Linked DNA regions of Lonchura striata. The protein of the gene in region 1 purifies or fractionates together with the protein of each later gene. This does not show direct contact. Links are inferred from orthologs where the notes say so. Each region holds a gene or a part of one and is shown in the gene's direction. Other genes may lie near its edges.

The links.
Region 2: the proteins of GPC1 (region 1) and HADHB purify together in Homo sapiens (co-immunoprecipitation; 3 studies listed by BioGRID and IntAct, counting the BioPlex papers as one, with this or other methods). This does not show direct contact. The link is inferred for Lonchura striata from reciprocal best matches to the Homo sapiens genes GPC1 and HADHB.

What each region holds. Positions count from the first base shown.
Region 1 is NC_134612.1:2,665,979-2,676,268, forward strand, and holds the start of GPC1 (glypican-1), read left to right. Parts: upstream 1-6,333; 5' UTR 6,334-6,446; coding exon 6,447-6,603; intron 6,604-10,290. UniProt on the Homo sapiens protein: Cell surface proteoglycan that bears heparan sulfate. Binds, via the heparan sulfate side chains, alpha-4 (V) collagen and participates in Schwann cell myelination.
Region 2 is NC_134605.1:113,198,797-113,209,179, reverse strand, and holds the start of HADHB (trifunctional enzyme subunit beta, mitochondrial), read left to right. Parts: upstream 1-6,230; 5' UTR 6,231-6,311; intron 6,312-6,320; exon of another isoform or gene 6,321-6,387; intron 6,388-8,068; 5' UTR 8,069-8,227; coding exon 8,228-8,294; intron 8,295-8,652; coding exon 8,653-8,694; intron 8,695-10,108; coding exon 10,109-10,205; intron 10,206-10,383. Other genes in the region: HADHA (trifunctional enzyme subunit alpha, mitochondrial), read right to left, coding at 5,876-5,963. UniProt on the Homo sapiens protein: Mitochondrial trifunctional enzyme catalyzes the last three of the four reactions of the mitochondrial beta-oxidation pathway.

The sequences.
Region 1 (10,290 bases):
CCAACATCACCAAGAACATGGAGGTGAGGAAGGAGAAAGAGGGAGGACAGGACCGGCCCAAATCCCAAATCCATCTTAAAACCTCTGACCCCCATGTACAAAACCAAAATCCCCTGTACAGCACTAAAAATTCTTCCCTCTACTTTGTGCCTACTTCTACTCTAATATCTAAACTTTTGTGACTCCTTGTTCTTCCTGCAAGGCTGGTAAATCATTCCATGGTTCAAATCCAAAATCACAGCTGTTTCCAGCTGCCTGCCAGGGCCTCAAATGCTTCTGACCTGGGCCTGGAACCTCCAAAAATGTCTGAGGGACATTGTGAGTTCTGACATTTCCTCACAGTCAGTTTCCCTAGAAAAACAGGTTATGTTGTACCTAACTGAATGTGAGGGGTGAAAAATACACACTTGAGCAGAACTCAATTAATTGTATTAATTCATCAAAGTGCTTTAGTCTGTGGTGTTTAATGTAGCAACAGCTGAGGATAAAGTGCCAGCTGAGAAGTTCTATTGGGGATGCCAGATGCCCATATTGTGACTCCACACTTTTTATTTTCTTTGCTTTTCAGTCTCACCTATTTTTTCCCTGTCAGAATTAAAAGAAAAGATAAACCAGAAAAAGCTTACAATATAATAAACTTGCATCCATAGCATTCTGATGTGACTGATGTTTGCACCTTCAACAGACATGAACACAGATTCAGGTTGGAGACTAAAATCAGGGCCAGATTTTGTGGCTTTGAGTCCTTTCAATGACTGCTAACTCCCAAAGTATTCCTTTATTTTCTTCCCCAAAAGAGGACTCTGTTAGTTTCTTCCCAATATGAGAGGGGAATATAAAGCTAATTACAGCCTGATTGAGACTCTTTCAGTTTCCAAGTGAAACAAGAGCATCCTTTCCTTTATAAAGAAATTTGGAAGTGTTAATATGGGATATCAAAATGAGTTTTTCTTCTCAAAGAAGTCTGGGATGCTTATCCCTCACCCATTTGCCTTGGACCAGTGCTCAGGAACAGGCTGTAGAGCTGGCATTCCCAGGAACAGAGTGTGCTCCTGCTCAGTGCCACAGACAGATGACAATGACAATGAGGGACGGTTTTCACCTGAAAAATCTCTTTCAAACCAGTTAACTTCAGGACATAACCTCTTGAATTATAAGAGGAAATCATCTACTTGCAACTTTTGCAGGAAGTGGGAAGGAATCTTCTACACATCACCATAGGGGCATGCTGAAAGGACAGATTTTTCATCTAGTTTTGGGGACCATTTTGAGGCATTTCATACTATTAAAGCTGTGCTTATAACACATAAATCAGATTCAAGTGCATGTCGATACTCTTTATTCATTGCTGCATATGTTTTCGAGAGTGGGAAAAGCTTTACTGAAAGTTCCCAGAAAGGATAAATGTACTTCCTGGGGCAGACCCAATTAACAGGAGTTTCTCTAACGAGTTTATGGCATTTATTTCATTTTTGGCCTTTAAGACTTCTTTCTACTGGGAAATCTCTGACTCTTATATAACACAAGTACAGTCTGGCAGGGTGGAGTCATTGGTAAGAGGTCATTAAGCAATACATTGCTTTAAGTTGCTGCTGTAAAATTGTGTGGTTCACTTCAAAACACAGCACAGAGTTGCAATTACCTGCATTAGCCTGATTCTCTGTCTGAAATTACTCAGTTGTTCCTAATATTCCTAGTACGAGCCACACTGGGGAAATGAAAATTCCATTTGAAGGGAATTGGTCTGTTCCACCAAAGGTCAAAGAGCAGCTTGGCACAGCCTTGGCATACACTGCTGCACTTGTCCTCTGTGCAACCCCTCTTCCTCTGCTCCTCAGCATCCAGAATTGTGATTGTCACTGCCCTGGGGCCTCAGTCTGGCTCCCTCAGGACCTGGGAAGGTCTTGAGGCTCTGTACATCTACTGAACGCTATCCCTGATGAATTAATCCGAGCACACAAATCCCAAAAGGTCTTCGTATTTTGGGAAGGCAAATGGTGTCTTACAAAGTCAACTGAGATCAAGCTGGATTTGCCAGTTGTACATAGATGCCCCAGCAGTTTGAAGGGATTGATCTGATATTTTTGGTGATCAAAACAACCTGACACGTGCTGTTTGTGCATGTCAGGGAAGCTTCCTGGGGGAACGTGAGCAGAGGGGAGGAGAAGATGCCGGATTTCCAGTGAAGGGAGAGCCAGGGAAGAAGTAAGTAGCTGCAGATAGCAAGGTGTAATCTAGTAAATCCTCTGAATAACTTAATTAGATTTGATTCAGCAAAACACATGTCCAGCTTCTGCTGAACACCACTCAGTGTTGGGGAGGCAGGGGCTTTTATGAATTCTGCAGGAAACTGCTCTTGCAGAGATTAAAGGAATTGGGCAGAAGAGGTACTGAGATATTCCTGCTTTGATGAAGATTTTTAATTTAAAGGTGCCAGATTTGCTGATGCTGCCAGAGAATCAAAAGTATCATAAACTGGTAAGGGAAAGGGGCAAAGGGTTTCATTATGTGAAGCTGGGACGAGAGAGGAACCTGTAGCCCAGTCAGGCTTTGCCCATCTCTTTTCCTTCCCCACTCCCCACGCTGTGTGAACTTTGCACTTGATGCATAGGGAAAAAAGTAGAAACACCACTGAATTCAAGAGAGAATGCACTATTCTTTTATGTGGCACCAAAGATACAGGGCAATTTTGAATTCTGGGTTTTTTCCTGTTTAGGTTTTGCTGTCAGACTCCAGGTTGCTGTAACTCAGCAGAGGTCCATTTTGGAACCAGCTGGAAGTCTGGTGGGTGTAATTGCATTGCTGCCTGTACAATTCTTGACTTGCATCAAGGTGAAAAAGAGAGGCAAGTCCACTGCATTGCAAAAATTTTGGAAAGTGCTAGAGAAACAAAGATGTCTCTGTGAAAACTGAGGTTGTAGAAAGCCTCTCTGTTCACTTCTTGTTTTAAAGGGTAGCTTTCCCCACTTGTGCCAGACGATTTGGCTCTTCTTCATCCTTCTTGCTCCATAATGCTTGGATCAGCTTTTCAGTGGGCAGTGCTTTTTGTCGGGACTGTCAGGAGGTGATCTCCAGAGCAGGATGGATTTTCTGTCTTCCTTTGGCTATCTTGCTGGCTGGCTGTGTGCTTTTTGCCTCCTCTGCATTTTGTCTACTCATCTTTGTGTTTTACTCTGCCTTTTCGTATCTTTCCCAGTTCTAGGTCTTTCTGACTGTTTTTGGACAATCTTTTGTTTACTTTTTGCCAAGTTCCATTCTTTTAGCTGAGGATGTTCAGAAACTGGATCTGGTCCTCAGATATAGACAATCCAATTTATAATGGATGCCAAAAATACATTTTCATCATGACACTTTGAGGATGTTTATTTCAATTTACTTAAAATGTGCCTAGGTCAAATCCTGCATGTGTATACAAACTTCACAGCAAAAAGAGACGTGCCTCACCACTTAAGATTTCTTTGAGCAGGATTTGATCCTGCACAGACTTGCAGATTTCTGTTGAAGAGCTCATATCAGCTTGTGCTCATTTTAAATTTGTCTACTTATAAGCTTCTCATTATGATAGTATGTCAGCATCCCAAAGGCAGGTGGTTGGGTAAAAAACACTCTTAGCCCTGTTTGGAGTTAAATGACCTGCTGGTGGTCATTTAATGCCTGAGGTTCACAGCAGAGCTTGTAGCTGAGCTGTAGTTCTGAGAAGAGCTGGAGCTGGCAGTGTGAGCTGTGCTGGGCTGGCAGCCTGGTGTCTCAGCTGGGAACAGCAGCGAGCGTGCTGCACTCCCAGGATTTTATCAGCAGTGACGTGACCCCAGTCCCTGCTGCAGGCACTGCCACCCAGCCAGGGAAGTGAGATGTATGGCAAGAAGGGAAATACTCGGGCCTGTGAAAAATCTGTAGCTCAGGGGATGGCTCCAAGGCCAGAGCCCAAGGGCTGCAGTCCCAGCTCTTCCATTGCCAGCTGCTGTGTGAGTCCACAGAGCTTTGTGCTGCAACCTTGGGGTGCAGCCACAGCTCAGAGAGCTTACCCAAAGTCACTACAGGCAGAGCTGAAAGTATATGCCACACGTATTCAATGGCAACACGTAGCCGATCCCAGGATTTGAGAAGGAAAAGAGGAAATTCGGTGCTATTTTGGTCTCCTGTATCACCCACCCCAAGTCATTCTGTGCAGCCAGACCAGATAAAAGGTTTATGACTCTGCCTTTCTTCTCTATCAAGTACTTTGTGTCTTTGGAGTTCACATTCCTGGAGTTCGTTCGCCTCAGCAGACTCAAGTGACACTGTTGTTACCCGTGTGTCTGCAAGTATTTGATTTTCACTCAGGTTTTCCAAGAGGAGGAGGTGTTCCTCCAGTCATGGCAGTGTAGGTACAGATTCCTCTGCTGCTTGTTTTCTGCCGTTGTTGTACTCGGATTAGTTAGATGAGACTTCTGACATGGATCTTCAAGTGATATGTTCAAAGCCTGGGGAGAGGAAAGGGCTATGGCTATAAAATGAAAATAAATCCCCAGGAGTATGGGCTGAAATAACCTCATGACACATAACCTACTTGGTAACCTCTTAAGTGTGCAGTACTTTTGCATTTACAAAAGAGTTTTCATTTAAAAACAGGGTAAGTCAGGCTTCATCCATGGCAGATTTTTCCCCACACAGCAAGCTCCCAGCTGAGGCATATTTTGGGACTCTGTAAGCCTCGGGTTTCTAAACTAAGAGATGATACAAGAGGCCAAAAGGCACAATGTCATCTGCAAGAGAATTAAGATTTGGACTGTATGGGTGTATCTGACTCAAAGCTATTAACTTTTGGTGGTAATGATGTGTCATCTCAGTTATGATCTTCATTACAAAATTCTCCCTGTCTTTGCAGGGGTTTTCCCTGTCCTCTCCATCTGCTTTCATAGATGAATCTAGGAAGTTTTAAGAGGAAATAATTCGGTGATTTTATAGGAAAGCAGCAACTTTCCCCTACTGCCATCCTGCTACTCCCCATGGCTCCTGTTTTGCAGTCACTTCTCCCATTCCTCAGGATAATAAGCAGTTCTGAAGCAATGGGATGAACATCACCAGTTTCCCATGAAGTTTCTCACATCTGGGTGACTGCCTAGTCCAAAAGCTACGATCTCTCTTAAATGTTGCTGCGTTTTGGGGGGGCACAGTGATGGAGTTTGTGTGCAATTTCTGCAATCTTGTAAGGTTTAAGCCCACAAGTGCTCCAGCTGAGGCACGGGCAGACTCCCTCCCCCTTTTCACAGAGAACAACTGCTCTCCAAAGGCTCAGGAGCGACCGCTGGGTCTTCTGGCTGTCGCGAACAGAGTCAGACGCCGGCCAAAAGCCTGCAAGCTCATTTGGAGCAGCACACGGGCATTGCCTTGACGCACAGGTGATCGCATACGTCTCAGTTCTGTGGGAAGCAGCTCAAAACGCGGCTGGCAGAGCTGCAGAGCACCAGCTTCGGGAGCTGGCAGGCTGTTGGATGAAGTAAACTCCAAAGCTGAGAATTTGTCGTAGACATTTGCCTCTCTTCCCACATCTGCTCTTAAAGGGGCACTTTCAGCCTTCCCAGGACCTTGCTGGGACTCTCCGGCTCTCAGCTGAACTGCGTTCTCCTCGCCGCTCTAAGTGTGGAACGATTTAAGTCTTTACGCGGCCGTTGTCCCGCCCCGCTGGGGGAACCCCGGGCAAAGCACCGGGGCCCGCCGCAGACAAAGAAGGGCTCGCTGCGCGCTGTCCTTGCCCAAGGACGGCGGGCGGCCCCGGAGCGCCGTGCGCGCCCTGCCCGCCCGGGGATGCTCGGGGATGCCGGGGATGCCCGGGATGCTCGGGGATGCCGGGGATGCTCGGGGATGCTCGGGGCGCTCCGGCGGCTCCGGGCGCCGCGCAGCGCCCGCGGCGGGGGCGCGGGGCGGGGCGGGGGCTGCGCCCCGCGCGGGATTGGCGCGGGCCGCGTGATGCCACGTCCGGCGGGGGAAGCCCTGCCCGCCCGGAGCCGCCCCGCCGCCGCTCGGCGCGCAGGTGGAGCGGAGCCGGCACAGCCCAGCCCAGCCCGGCCCGGCCCCGCCGCGGGAGCAGCCCCGCAGCCCGCCCCGCGCCCCGCCCCGCCGCGCTCCGCCCGGCCCGGCGGCGCCGCAGCCGGCAGCATCGCGGCGGGACTGCCCGGGGATGCGGCCGCGCTAAGAACAAAAGCCCTCAGCGCGCTCTCGCTCCAGGGCTCTGAAGCGGCGCGGCCGAACTTGGATCTCTGCCCCCCTCGGCCGAGCCGCGGCGGCGTCCGGGGCCGAACTCGCCGTTGCCTTCCCCGCACGCCGCGGGCAGCCGGGCTCGCCCGCCGCCCTCGCCCGCCCGTCCCGCCGGGGCTGCCCGCGGAGGGGCCGCACCCGGCCGCCCCCGCGCCGCGGGACCTTGGCTTTGCCCTTCGCTCGGCAGGTGGCGGGGCCAGCGGAGAAGGATGCGTGTCTTCCCGTGGGGATTTTGGCTGCTGTGTGTCGCCTCCGCCCCGGCTCGCGGTGACAGCGGCAGCAAGGCGAGGAGCTGCGCCGAGGTCCGGCAGCTGTATGGAGCCAAGGGCTTCAGCCTCAGCGGCGTGCCCCAGGCCGAGATCTCCGGTGAGTGCCGCGGGGCGCCGGGGGCGCGGTGCCCGGGCCGGGGCCGCTGCCAGCCGGGAGATGCCCGGGCACGGCTGGGAGCCGCGGGCTGGGGAGCGCTCGCCGCCCCACGCTGGAGTTTGTCTCGGCTCGTGGGCGGCCAGAAGTCGGAGCGGGGAGGTTTCCCCGGAGCCGGGCTGCCCTGCCGCTCTCAGCGCCGCCGGCAGCCCTGCCCTGCCCGCAGAGGGGCTCTCCCCGGCGCTGGCGATGCGAACGGAGCTGCGAGGGGGGCTGGTCGCGCCAAGTGTTCAGCGGTGGTTCTTTCTTTTTTCTCATTGTCTCGTTGCTTCTGTGCTGAGTACAACTGAAACGGGTTTCAGGGTTTTGATTCGGAAATCGGAATAATCGGAGTGTAGTGGGTTTCGGTGTCAGAGGTGGAAAGCGCCACAAGGTTGTGAGAGAGGAATTGATCTATTTAAATCTTCTTCTGGATGGGAAGCAAACGTGTAAATGATATTGGCTACTTAATAAAAATGAAGCAGGAGTAAAATGACCGCGTCAAACGTGAAGTGCAGGGGAAACCTGTGTAACCTACGCTAGAGTGTGTCCTCTTGCTTTCATTCTGGCTTTAGATAAATCTTGGTTGATTTCCTCCTCTTTGTAGAAACAACTGAAATAGCAAGGAATATTCAAGGTCTGGTTTGTGTGGGTTTGGGTTTTTTTCTTTGAAGGCTTGGGGAAAATATGCTGAGGCATTGTAGGGTTTTCTAAAATTCTCATCAAAGTTTTGATACACCAACTTGTGACCCATATCCGAGAGCCTTCTCCTCACTTGTGGGAGCTTCCTCCTTCAGACAAAGCATAAAACATGCAGGCGTACGTGCCAGAGCCAACCCACAGGGACACCCCAGTAAAACTGCAGTTTGTACTGCACATCTAAGCTACACAATGCCTTATGCTGAATATTTCATCAGGTAATTTTTCAGAGAAACCAATTTGTTGTCTGACCAATGAAAGGAGAAGGCTGAACCATATACATCCCTCATAAATGCGAATAAATTAATGCCTTCTTTGTCAAGTTACAACTGAGAGTAAATTTCCAAAGTAAGACGAGCAGCCCTCAAAGTTAAACAGTGGGGAGTTTCAGAACCGTTTGAACATCACTATTAATGGCATAGCACTTCAGCTGAGCAAGAAAGCGGCTTTTTATGAGTTTGCATCTCATTATTGCAGATGTGAATACATTAGCTGTCGTGTTTCAAGTGGGAAGTTCTTGGAAGGCTGAATGTTTACAAACACGCTGGAGGTGGCTGCAGCACTGCGCACAGGGATAGTACTACGGGCAGCACCGAGGCTCGCAGCAGCTGCGGTTAAAAGGATCACGTATCGCAGGTCAGCTGCCAGTAAAACACCTTGTACCTGCAAATTGTTGAGGTTCCAGGAGTGTCAGGACACAGATTTCCAGGATGCAGGAGTTCTGTTTCCTGCTGTGCGTTGGTACGAGCATACACACTGGCAGTCACAAGCCACAGTGGTTAAAATTGGAGTATCAAACCGGAGTCTCTGGCTGTTACTGCAGACAGGGAAACTCTGTAGATAAATGCCATGAAAACTTGAGGAATACTGCATGGAAAGTAATGTGAAGAAGTGCTTGGAGGAAGAAGGTCCCACACATAGAGCCGCTGCTGCTACCATTAGCCCAGTGTTTCAGACAGCTGCCAGACTAGATGATTTTCATTGGTAATTACCTCCTGACCGATGCACATTCAGGAATGCATTTTTGTGTCAGTGTGTTACTTGCCCAGTGCAGTTAAAACATCAGTGAGCGTAGATATAACCTTAGAAACGTCCTGACAAAGCAGTGTTCTGTATCCTCTTTGCTTTTTAGCAGCTGTGCAGGTTAATGCAAAGGTTGGTGCCAGTTTTGCTTGTCTCCAAGAAGAGGCATCTCAAGAGCCTCCTTGCAGTATCCTTATGTGTACCAAGTACAGGACCATGCAGTTTATAATTCCACATTTGCTCGTTGTTTCAGGCTGGTTTCAGTGGCAGTGGTTCAGCTTGCTGTCACTTGAATGGAGCCTTCTCAGGTGACACCACTGACACCTGTGAATGCATCCCCAGGCATACAGCTGAGGAGGGGCAGGTGTCTTCTGCTGTGTCTCAAGTGAAGGGAGAGGAAAGGGTCTTAGGTTGCCAGGGCAAGTCAGATGAGATATTAGAAAGAAATGTTCACAGAAAGAGTAGCTGTGCATTAGGCTGAGCTGGTGGAATCACTCAGTGATGTGCATTAGGCTGAGCTGGTGTAATCACTCAGTGATGTGGATAAGGGGCTGTTATGGTGGTGCTGGGTTGATGACTGGATGAGATTATAGTGCAGGCTTCCAACTTTGGTGATTCTGTGGTTGGGCAGCTTTTGGATTAGTTAAGAGATGTTGATGAACTGAGATCAATGTTGTCTCCTATTGGACTATGCTGAAGTTTCCTGATGGTGGCCTTCTTCATGTTTTAAGAGCTGCCCCATGAATCATGTTTTTATTTTATTTCTGAGCTGCCTAGAGACAAAATCCCTTTCCATTGTCCCTCTCTAAGGAGACCTCGCTGTTCCTTCCCTCCACTGCTTGCCCTGAAGCAAAGGGGAACATTAATTTCTTAGCCCTATGACCCCAAAGTGGTGCTGACCTTGCTCCTGTCTGCCTGTGCCTGGCTCCAGGCACTGCTTGGGGTGTGTTGGTGTCACAGCAGCCCAGCCCCAGGAGCCAAACCCCACACTGCACCCCCAGAGCTGCCCTGCAGAAGGAGTTCAGTGAGCTCCCAGCACGCAGGCTCTGACTCAGACTGAGATTGGCTGTGTTTGTGTTGGGTTTAGAACACTCACTGCACGCTTTACACCTTCTAATCTGTATTCTTAGTTATGATTTAAGAGGATTATGAATAATCTAGTGTCTCCACAGCTCACCAGAAGGTAGTCCCTGCTTGTGGCTGCATGGATCAGCTGGAGAAGAGTCCCACAGTTATTAGCTGGCTAATAGATAAGCATCTGATGCAGGGATAGACTCTTGGCTTACCAGATTTCTCATGAACCACCTAGACAGGGTATCCTGGTTTTTTGCTAATGTTGTACAATGCCTTTAACATGTCTAAGCACTTTAAATGTGTCAGGTGCTGTTATTAAGTGTGTTTAGGGAGTACACAAGGTGTTATATCTCAGTACTTTGAAGTCAATGGCAAAATTCCCGAACACGATAGCAGTGTCTGCTCGTGTTAGCAATCCTGACAGACAGCTGTGCACCCAGAGTCTTGGGTGAAGATCTGCCTACCAGAAAGTTTCTAATGCTGGGGGTAAAGCCCCCTACTCCTTGAGTTTGGGAAAGTTACACCACTTGCTCCCATGGGATGTGCTACTAGCTCGATCGCAGCTTTCCTGCGTGTTGGGAGAGCGTTCCCACTCTCCTTTTTGATGACCCACACCCCCTTTCTCTGATTGCTACAAAATAAGGGAAACCTTATTGTAAGTTGGAGAGCTTCCAGTGTTTTCGTTTCCTCTCGAGTTTTCTGGAGGTGGCAGCTGTTCCTGCTGTCTCACATTCCTGCAGGATCCCACTGCGGGTCCCTGCTCTGGTGGTGAAGGGGAGGCATACCCTGCTCTAGGGTGCTTCTTAGTGCCCCTCTTAGGGACTGGTTACCTCAGGCTCACAGCATGGCTTGTGA
Region 2 (10,383 bases), on another chromosome or scaffold:
GCTCTGCTGGACAGCTTTTGGGAACCCTGGGCAGGAGCCAGTCCCTCTCCTCAGGGCCTGCCCAGTGCCCCACCAGCATCCAGCAGTGCCCTTCTAGCACAGACCCCATCTAGTGCCACACCTGCCATGGGCAGGGACAACTTCCACCATCCCAGGTGGCTCCAAGTTCCATTCAGCCTGGCCTTGGGCACTGCCAGGGATCCAGGGTGGGCACCCTGTGCCAGGGCCTGCCCACCCTGCCAGGGAACAATTCCCAATTCCCAATCTCCCACCCAGCCCTGCCCACTGGCACTGGGAGCCAAATTCCCTGGCTCCTGTCCCTCCATCCTTGTCCCCAGTCCCTCTGAGCTCTCCTGGAGCCCCTCCAGGCCCTGCCAGGGGCTCTGAGCTCTGCCTGGATCCTTCTCCTCTCCAGGTGAGCCCCCCCAGCTCTCCCTGGATCCTTCTCCTCTCCAGGTGAGCCCCCCCAGCTCTCCCTGGATCCTTCTCCTCTCCAGGTGAGCCCCCCCAGCTCTGCCTGGATCCTTCTCCTCTCCAGGTGAGCCCCCCCAGCTCTCCCTGGATCCTTCTCCTCTCCAGGTGAGCCCCCCCAGCTCTCCCTGGATCCTTCTCCTCTCCAGGTGAGCCCCCCCAGCTCTCCCAGCCTGGCTCCAGCCCTGCAGCAGCTCTGGGGGCTCCTCTGGGCTCTCTGCAGCAGCTCCAGGTCCTTGTGCTGCTGGAATCCCCAGGGCTGGGGCAGCTCTGCAGGTGGGGAGCTGTTCTTCCTTGTCCTGTGCCTCCAGGCCCTTGTGCCTCTCCAGCTCTTGGATCCAGCTCCACTAATGACACACAAAGCACACAAGCACCTCTTCTTCCAGAGCCCTCAGAAACCCCAGACCACCAGATGAACAAGTTCTGCCCACAGGTTTGACTCTCCTTTTCCTGCTCAGAAATTCTGTTTGGGCCCCCCGATCTCTCAGCACACAAATGAACCCCAGCTCCATTCAAGCTTGAGGATCCCCAAACTCAGATGCAGGCTGAATCCCTGCCAAAGCTGCTTTAAGCCTGAATCCCAGGAAAAGTGTTACCTCCACATGGATCTATCTACCAGCCAGCACACAGCCGATTAGGCAGGGGAGGGCTCTGCTCAGCACTGACAAAACCCTCAGGAATGAAACATTCCCATTCCCAGCAGCAAGCAGGGAGGATAACCCAAGGCCAGGAGAATAAACTGCCTCCCCAAGAGGTGTCTCCCCCCGCCACAGCCCCGTGACACGGGCTCAGGGCTGCACTTTGGCCTCCTTTCCACCTTGTCTGGGGTGCTGGCAGTCGGGACTGACCTTTGCTCCCATTCCTGAGCCCAGGATATGCAGTGTGATGCCGTGGGGATGGAAATTCAGAGTCAGGCTGTCCCAGCAAACAGCTCTGGGGTGTGTGTGTGTGTGTGTGTGTGTCATGTGCCCACAGCAGCATTTTATAAACAAAGAGTGAACCAGTTCCCACTCCAAAGCTCCTCAGCAATATTTAATACCCACATGTGATAGCTCCATCCAGCAATAATTTCCCTAAATACTTTGTTGTGTACTCCTGCAAACAAGCACAAACATTGAATTCCCACAAACCAGGTGGGGGCTGACAACAATTCCTCTGGTGGGAGATGCTGCCCAGCAGAACACCACCTTTACCAGCAGTATTTTAACCCAATAAAAGCCATGCAACCTCTTTAAAGAGAAAGCAAGGACTGAACTGTCTCCCTGAATTCATTCATTCAATCCTTGCAGCAAGCTGGGATAGGGGAAGGTGTCCCTGCCTGTGGCAGGGGTGTGGAACAAGATGAGCTTTAAGATCCCTCCCAGCCAAACCAGTTTGGGATTCCAGATTTTTTGTTCTTTACATGGCTTTCCTTTCCCACACCAGTTCTCAGATTCCTTCCATGAAAACCTTCAGCCTTCAATTCCTCTCTCCCTTTCCATTCTCACAAAACAGAAGAGATGAAGTAGGAAAAAAAAAAATCAAGGGCATGGCTGCACAAATATCACTCCACTTGAATATAAATTCTTTTGGGAGAGGCGCTGTCAGAAGTGCACCAGCTGGTTAACACTGGAGTGAGCTTTCTGTAGCCTGACAGTGGTTTATTTTAAGTCTAGAATATTTGTGGAAAACATCTTTTGCTAGGAAGCACAAGTCCTTGTCCTGGTCCTTGCACATCTGCTTTAGGTGTTGATCCCTTCAGCATTGCCATGGGAACGTGCCAAGACTGAAGCCAGAAAAATCCTCCAAAATGCTGCAGGAAGCAGAAGCCCATATTCCGACTTCCACTGTGTCCCATCACTGATTCCAGAGTTAATGCCCTGAAAATCAGTTCCAGGCTCACTCCAGCTCAAACACTGTCCAGCACCAGGACACCAACACTCCAGGTGCCCTCAGGACTTTGGATGCACCAGGGAATGGACAACACCCACCCCACAGCCCAGCCTGCTCCTTCCCACTTTCTCTTCTCCCTGTTCCTACCTCAGCTCCCACCCTTCCACTCACCGGCACGTGGCACACGCCTTGAACTGGGAACTGCCTCCATGGCTCAGGGAAAAGCCTTTTTCCAGTCCTGGAGCAGCCCAAGCCCCAGCAGCACGGAGCTCAGGCTGCCTGAGCTGTCCCTGCCAGCTGAGCACGGAGCTGTGACCCGTGAGAAGGGAAACTCCCGGCACACTGAGCTTCCCAAGCCACCCTGGGAACCTGGTGGCACACGGATGTGGCCCAGCAGGTACAGCCAGCCCTGGAGCTCACCTGGCTCCTGACTGCTCCCTGCCTTTGGGCTGCCCCTGAGAGCTTTGCATGCACTTCCCAAGCTTTGCAAGGCAGAACGAGGGTATTCATTCATTAGCAACGGTGGTAGTGTCCTCACAGCAGCTCCAGGGCTGTTTGTTGTGGAGAGCTTCACCAGTTGGAACAAGAATTCCAACCAGCAGCAGCCTGAGAACTCTCTGGAGTTGCCACAAGTCTCCTCCTCAGTGATTGCAGCTCCCTGTCACGTACAAACCTGCTCCAAGGCTGCACGTAACACAGCTGTGATCCCAGAACCAGGAATTGCTCACCAGGATCCCTGAACCGTGGGATTGCTCACCATGATCCTGGAAACATGGGATTGCTCATCATGATCCCAGAACTGTGGGATTGTTCACCATAATCCCAGAACCAGGAATTGCTCACCATGATCCCTGAACCGTGGGATTGCTCACCATGATCCCAGAAACATGGGATTGTTCATCATGATCCCAGAACTGTGGGATTGCTCACCATGATTCCAGAAACGTGGGATTGTTCATCATGATCCCAGAACCATGGGATTGTTCACCATGATCCCAGAACCAGGAATTGCTCATCATGATCCCAGAGCCATGGAATTGCTCACCATGATCCCAGAACCAGGAATTGCTCACCACGATCCCAGAACCAGGAATTGTTCACCATGATCCCAGAACCAGGAATTGTTCATTATGATCCCAGAAACATGGGATTGTTCACCACGATCCCAGAACCATGGGATTGTTCACCATGATCCCAGAACCAGGAATTGCTCACCATGATCCCAGAACCAGGAATTGCTCACCATGATCCCAGAACCAGGAATTGCTCACCATGATCTGCTGTGCCACATGCCGCGCCACAACAATGATTCCAGAACCAGGAATTGCTCACCATAATCCCTGAACCAGGAATTGCTCACCATGATCCCAGAACCAGGAATTGTTCATTATGATCCCAGAAACATGGAATTGTCCACCATGATCCCAGAACCATGGAATTGCTCACCCTGATCCCAGAACCATGGGATTGTTCACCATGATCCCAGAAACAGGAATTGCTCACCATGATCCCAGAACCAGGAATTGTTCATCATGATCCCAGAACCATGGAATTGTTCACCAGGATCCCAGAATCATGGGATTGTTCACCATGATCCCAGAACCAGGAATTGCTCACCATGATCCCAGAACCAGGATTGCTCACCATGATCCCAGAACCAGGAATTGCTCACCCTGATCCCAGAACCAGGAATTGTTCACCATGATCCCAGAACCAGGAATTGCTCACCATGATCCCAGAACCATGGGATTGCTCACCATGATCCCAGAACCAGGCATTGCTCACCATAATCCCTGAACCAGGAATTGCTCACCATGATCCCAGAACCATGGACTTGTTGGATAAGAGCTCTCAGAGCACCGAGTCCAGCTCTGAACCCCGCACTGCTGAGCTCAGGTTTGGGTTTAAACGAAATAGAGCTGGAGTTTGGGTCAACATCAACACCAGACTCTGAGGCCCTTCAAAGTGCTCAAATGTGAGGTTTCCAGAGCTTCCCAGCCAGGCCCTCTGGCCTTCCCAGGGCTCCTGGGGACTCCCTGCCTCGGTGGCCAGGAGGCACCAAGCCAGATCCGTGCAGAGGCAGGAGAGAGCCACAGCCCTGCCCAAGCTGGCAAGGGAGATGCCCCCACAAAATCATGGAATCACTGAATCCCAGGATGGTTTAGATGGGAAGGAATGTTAAAGCTCATCCAGTGCCACCCCTGCCATGGCTGGGACCCCTTCCACTATTCCAGGTGGCTCCAAACCCCAGTGTCCAACCTGGCCTTGGGCACTGCCAGGGATTATCCAGGGGCAGCCCCAGCTGCTCTGGGAATTCCATCCCGGCCCCTCCCTACCCTCACAGGGAACAATTCCTAATTCCCAATCTCCCATCCAGCCCTGCCCTCTGGACACAGCCATTCCCTGGGTCCTGTCCCTCCATTCCTTGTCCCAAATCCCTCTGCAGCTCTCCTGGAGCCCTCCAGGCTCTGAGCTCTCCCCAGAGGATGATTCTTTTCCCAAGGCTGAACATCCCCAATTCTCTCAGCTGAGAAATCATGGAGCACCTGGAGACAGCCTCCCCCCAGGCAAGTGGGACTACGGGGTCACAGGGATGACAGGGATCCCATGGATACACCTGCCTGCCTGGAGGGCAGCCACAGCACCCAGGCTGCCAAGGACATGGGGACACCCTCTCCTTTCCAAGCAGCCACTCGGGGCACTGGGGACAGGCACACGTGTCAGGGCACAAGGACACTCTCTCCCCGTGGCTCAGCTCATGTGCAGGGATCTGACTGGAGGGTGTGTCCCCCCATCAGTGCCAGCTCACTGGGACCCCCCAAGAACTGCTCAGAGATTCCCACAGCGTGTCCCTGTGCAAGGACTGGCACAGCAGGATGTCCCCATGGGGGCACACAACCCCCAGAGACCACAGGACACGGAGGGGACAAACCTCGGGGTGGGGGATGTTTGGGACCTGCCAGGGATCCCCTTGGGTGACTCTGGGGACAAACCCCTCACACGGGGCACAGACACACATGGGGACACCTCCCACCCCACAGCTGCCCCGGGGATCCCCTGTCCCAGTCCCGGCCCTCACAGCCTTCCTGCGAACTCCTCACAGCCATCACCTCAAGAACCCTTTGTGACCCCCAGACACCCCCAACTCCTGCCCCAGCACCATGAAATCCTCTCTGGGACCCCTTGTTCCTCATCCCCTCAATGTCACCCCGGCCCTCGCCCACTTAGCGCGGCTCTCAGTGCCCCCCTGCCCCTCGCCCCCTCAGCGCCACCCCTGCAGCGCCTCCTCACCGTCCCCCCAAAACTTTCTCCTCAGTGAGCCCCATCCCACGCCAATCCTCGCTCCTTTAGCGTCCCCCGAGCCTTCACTGCCCCTTCACTGCCCCCCTGCCCGCCAGCGCTCCCCTTCCCTCAATACCCCCTCAGGCACCTCCCGTCCCTCACCCCCCACTGCCCCCATCCCCCGGTGCTCCCCTCAGGCGGGGGCCCCCGCAGTGCGGCCGCTCCCGCTCCCCGCCGTGCCCTGGCTCACCGCGGGGCGGGGTGTGCCGCGTCGGGCCGGCCCTGGCGGCGGCCGGGAGGCGGCCGAGGCTGCCGATGGCTCGCACCGCCGCCGCCATCTTCGCCGAGGTCGAATGAGGGAGGAGAGGCCGCCGGTGGGGGGGGGGGCCTGACGGCGCACGCCCCGCCCGCCGCGCCCCGCCCGCGCTGCCCGCCGCGCTGCCCGCGCGCTTCGCCGCCGCCGCCGCCCCGCCGCCGCCTCCCGCTCCGCTCTCCGCCGAGCCTCGGGTGGGTGCGACCCGCGCCGGGCCGCAGCGGATTGCGGGAGAGGCCGGGGACGGGCTGCGGGGCGGCGGTAGAGGGAGAGGTGCGGGTCAGGCGGACGCGGGCAGCCCGAGGGTGGCGGGGCGCGGGGTCCTCGCTGGGTGGAGGAGCGGCGGCGGCGGCAGAGCGCGGTGAGGGCGGAGGTGAGCGGACGGAAAGGGACGGGAGCGCACGGGGCGGTCAGGGGCTCCGTCCTGCGTGGACGGCAGCGCGGGGAGGGTGGGAGCAGTCGGGAGGCGGTCCTGAGGAGGAGGGTGGGGGTCAGGCGCGGTGCGGGCTGGAGCAGAGGGTCGGGGGTCTGTCCTCAGCGGGCGGGGAGGGATGAAGGGAGGCCGGGGGTGGGGGCAGATGGAGGGGGGACGTGAGGGGAGTCGGGGGGTTCGTTCTCGATGGAAGTGAGGGGAGGCGGGGGGTTCGTTCTGGGTGGACGTGAGGGGACTCGGGGTTTCCTTTTGGATGGACGAGGAGCAGTGAGGCGAGTCTGGATCATTCTGAATGGACGGGGAGCAGTGAGGGGAGTTGAGGGGTTCGTTCTGGATGTGAGAGGAGTCTGGGTGTTCATTCCAGTTGGAAGTGAGGGAAGTTGGGGGGTTCGTTCTGATGGATGGGGAGACGTGACAGGAGTTGGAGGTTCTTTCTGGATGGAAGTTTGGGGAGTCGGGCAGTTCGTTCCGAATGGGAGTGAGGGGAGTTTTGGTGGGTTCATTCCTGATGGATGGGGTAGGGGGGCTGGGAAAGGGTGAGGAGGTCCCAGGGGGTCAGTGCTGGATGGATGAAAGGACTGAGGGGCTGGTCCTGGGCGGACAGCAGGGGTCGTGAGTTGGCCCTGGGTGGATGAGGGGGTTTGGGGGTGGCTGAGAGCAGCACGGGTGTGTTTGGGGTGGGAGTCCCGGGGTGGAGGTGGCGGTGCTGCGGTGTGAAAGTGTCAGGGGTGTGTGGGGACAGGAAGGGAGCAGGGGCTGTTCATGGAATTGTGGATTATCCTGAGTTGGAAGGGATCCGTGAGGGTCACAGAGCTGTGGAATCCAGGCAAATCCTGGCTCTGCAAGGAGCTTTGTCTTGACGATTTGTGTGGGCAGGGCTGAGCCCTTGGGGTGCCAGGGGAGCACTGGCTCCCAAAAATGAGGGAGTTTGGGGTGTTTTGAAGGGGCAGGAACGGGGGTGCACCGGGAGGAGATGGCTGTGCAGTGTGGGAGGGAGGAGGAGGTTACACCTGGGAGAAACTTCTGTCAGCTGGGCAGGGAAAATTTAGGGGAAAACTTCAGTCAGGTGTGGGGAGGGAGGTTGGCAGAGGTGGAGGAGGAGCAGGATGCTTTGGAAAGGTCTGGTTTTGGGATTTTTGTTGGCAGGAGGAGCCTGGGGCTGGGAAGGGTCACATTCCAGGTGTGGAGCTGCAGCTGGGAGGTGTCAAAGGGGGTGACTGGCAGCTTGTGCTGAGTTATGGGGAACTGCAGAGGGCTGGGTTTGGGACTGTGGGTGTTCCTGTGCCCCTCCATGGCAAAACTCTGTGCTTGGGAGAGAAAGTGCCAGGATTTGAACCCACAAAGTGTGACAGAGGGAGATGAATGTTGACATGGATCAAGCAAAGTCCTGGAGCTGTGAGGGCCATCTCGGCAATAAACTGCAGATGAGGGTTTGTTTATAGGGAAACCCGATTTGGGAGAGCTTCAGAGGGGTTTTTGGGGGCGAACTTGCTGTGTTTGCTGTGGGGATGCACAGCAGGATCCTCAGGCTGGCACCAGGGGCCAACGAGGGGCAGGGGTGCCAAGGACACTGCTGGTGTCAGGAGGTGCTGCTGGCAGCAGGGCTGCCTGGGCACTGGGACAATTTTCCAGTGGGAAGTGGAGGAGCAGTTCCTGGGAGGGAATTGAGAAGCTCACAGGGCGGTGTTTATTCACAGGCACAAGCGTGGTGGGAGGTGATTCCCTGTGCTGCTGCTGCCCTTGCAGTGTGTGCCCCTCACCTTGCTGGCTCTGTGTGAGGCAGGCAGGACGCTTCCCTTGGGATTGTTCTGGACACAGCAGCTTGGACTGAGCCCAGCCTTTCCCTAGATCCCAAAATGAGTTCCATGCTGAGCTCTGCCCTGCGGAACCTCCCCGTGTCCTCAGCCTGGGCTGCTGGGGCCTGTGAGTATCTTTAGATTTTATTGGTGGCCGTAAACCTCTGGTTGAAGTGTTGGGTTTGGAATGGATGCTGGGGTCTGAATCTATACCCGTTCTCACCTTTAAAAGACTGACATTTTTTACTTTTTAATCCTAATTACATTGTTGCCTTGTTTGTCCCTTCCTGCATCATATGGGGAGGAGTCTTGAGTTAACAGTTAACAGAAAGTGTACCAGGTTTCTGCACAGAGTAAACCACCCAACACCCCACAGGTGCTCAGGTGTCTTAGAGTGACACTATCTGCTTTCCTAACCCTTCTTGCAGAGACTAGAACTGTTTCTGACATTTTTCTGGTATTTTTTCCCCTTTCTTGTTTTCCAGTTACTCGATCACTCAGCTGCTCCTCGCCGTTCCAAGCTGCAGGTAAGGAGGAAACACCAGAATCTCAGTGGGTCTGTGCTAGACAGGGGTGTTTTGGAAGCTGCCTCCACTTCCCACAGTCTTGTTCCACTTAAATCTTAGAAATGGTGCAGAATGCAGGGTGGTTCGGGTGTTCCTGAAAAGCTGCAAGCAAGGAAAACTTCAGGCAAAGCAGTATTTGCAGCAGAGTCCTCTCATTTGCTGAGTGCCCTGGCGCCCAGTGCCATTCCCAGTTTGCTCCCAGTGGCCATTCCCAGTCTGCCCCCAGCTCCCAGTGCCATTCCCAGTCTGCCCCCAGCTCCCAGTGCCATTCCTAGTCTGCTCCCATGCCCATTCCTAGTCTGCCCCCAGCTCCCAGTGCCATTCCCAGTCTGCTCCCAGTGCCATTCCTAGTCTGCTCCCAGTGCCCATTCCCAGTCTGCCCCCAGCTCCCAGTGCCATTCCTAGTCTGCTTCCATGCCCATTCCTAGTCTGCCCCCAGCTCCCAGTGCCATTCCTAGTCTGCTCCCATGCCCATTCCTAGTCTGCCCCCAGCTCCCAGTGCCATTCCTAGTCTGCTCCCAGTGCCATTCCTAGTCTGCTCCCATGCCCATTCCCAGTCTGCCCCCAGCTCCCAGTGCCATTCCCAGTGTGCTCCCAGGGCCATTCCCAGTCTGCCCCCAGCTCCCAGGGCCATTCCCAGTCTGCCCCCAGCTCCCAGGGCCATTCCCAGTCTGCCCCCAGCTCCCAGTGCTATTCCCAGGCTGCTCCCAGTGCCCATTCTCAGTCTGCCCCTGGCTCCCAGTGCCCGTTCCCAGTTTGCCCCAGCTCCCAGCACCATTCCCAGTTTTTAGTCTCAGCCCACAGTGAGTGGCTGGGGTGATCCACGCTCTGGGTTCACTGTGGGGGTTGCTCAGGTGATTCATGCTTTGGGATTTTGGGAACAGGCCTGGACAGCAGCTCCCCATCATCGCCAGGCTTTGGGAAGAGCCTGAAGGAATCTCCAGACAGTGCTGGAGTTTTGTCCTGGCACTGGCCTGTGGAATGATGCCAGGTCATGACATCCCTTGTTTTGAACCTCTCCCACTGGGGAGAGAATTTCTTCCCATTAGGAAGAAATTTCTTCCCATTAGGAAGAAATTCTTGGCTGTGAGGATGATGAGGCACAGGCCCCATCCCTGGAAGTGTTCCAGGCTCAGTTGGATGGAGCTTGGAGCAACCTGGGATAGCAGGAGGTGTCCCTGTCCATGGCAGGGGTGCAATGGATGAGCTTTGAGGTCCCTTCCTACCCAAACCATTCCATGATTCCAGGATTCCTACCTTCCCTGCCTTTCACTTACACACCAAAAAAGGACAATTTCCTTTGTTTTCTAGAAGCTTTGCAGGATCTATATGAAAATTGCTGATATTCTTGTCACCATCACTTCTCTCTTCCCAGTTCAGCCAAAGACTAAGAAGACCTTGGGCAAAACTGGGGTGAAGAATGTGGTGGTGGTGGAGGGTGTCCGCATTCCCTTTCTGCAGTCTGGCACCACGTGAGTATCAGAGACCAGTGAAACCCAGCAAGCACGCCCTGGTTTGGTTAAAACTCAACTCTTTCTGTGAAAAACCTCACTTGTTCCTTTGAATGTAGTTATTCTTGGGCCTAGAGGCTCAGGAGGGGCCCTGAGTTGGGCTGCTGCAGTTATTCCAGTGTATTTAGTGCAGGAATGT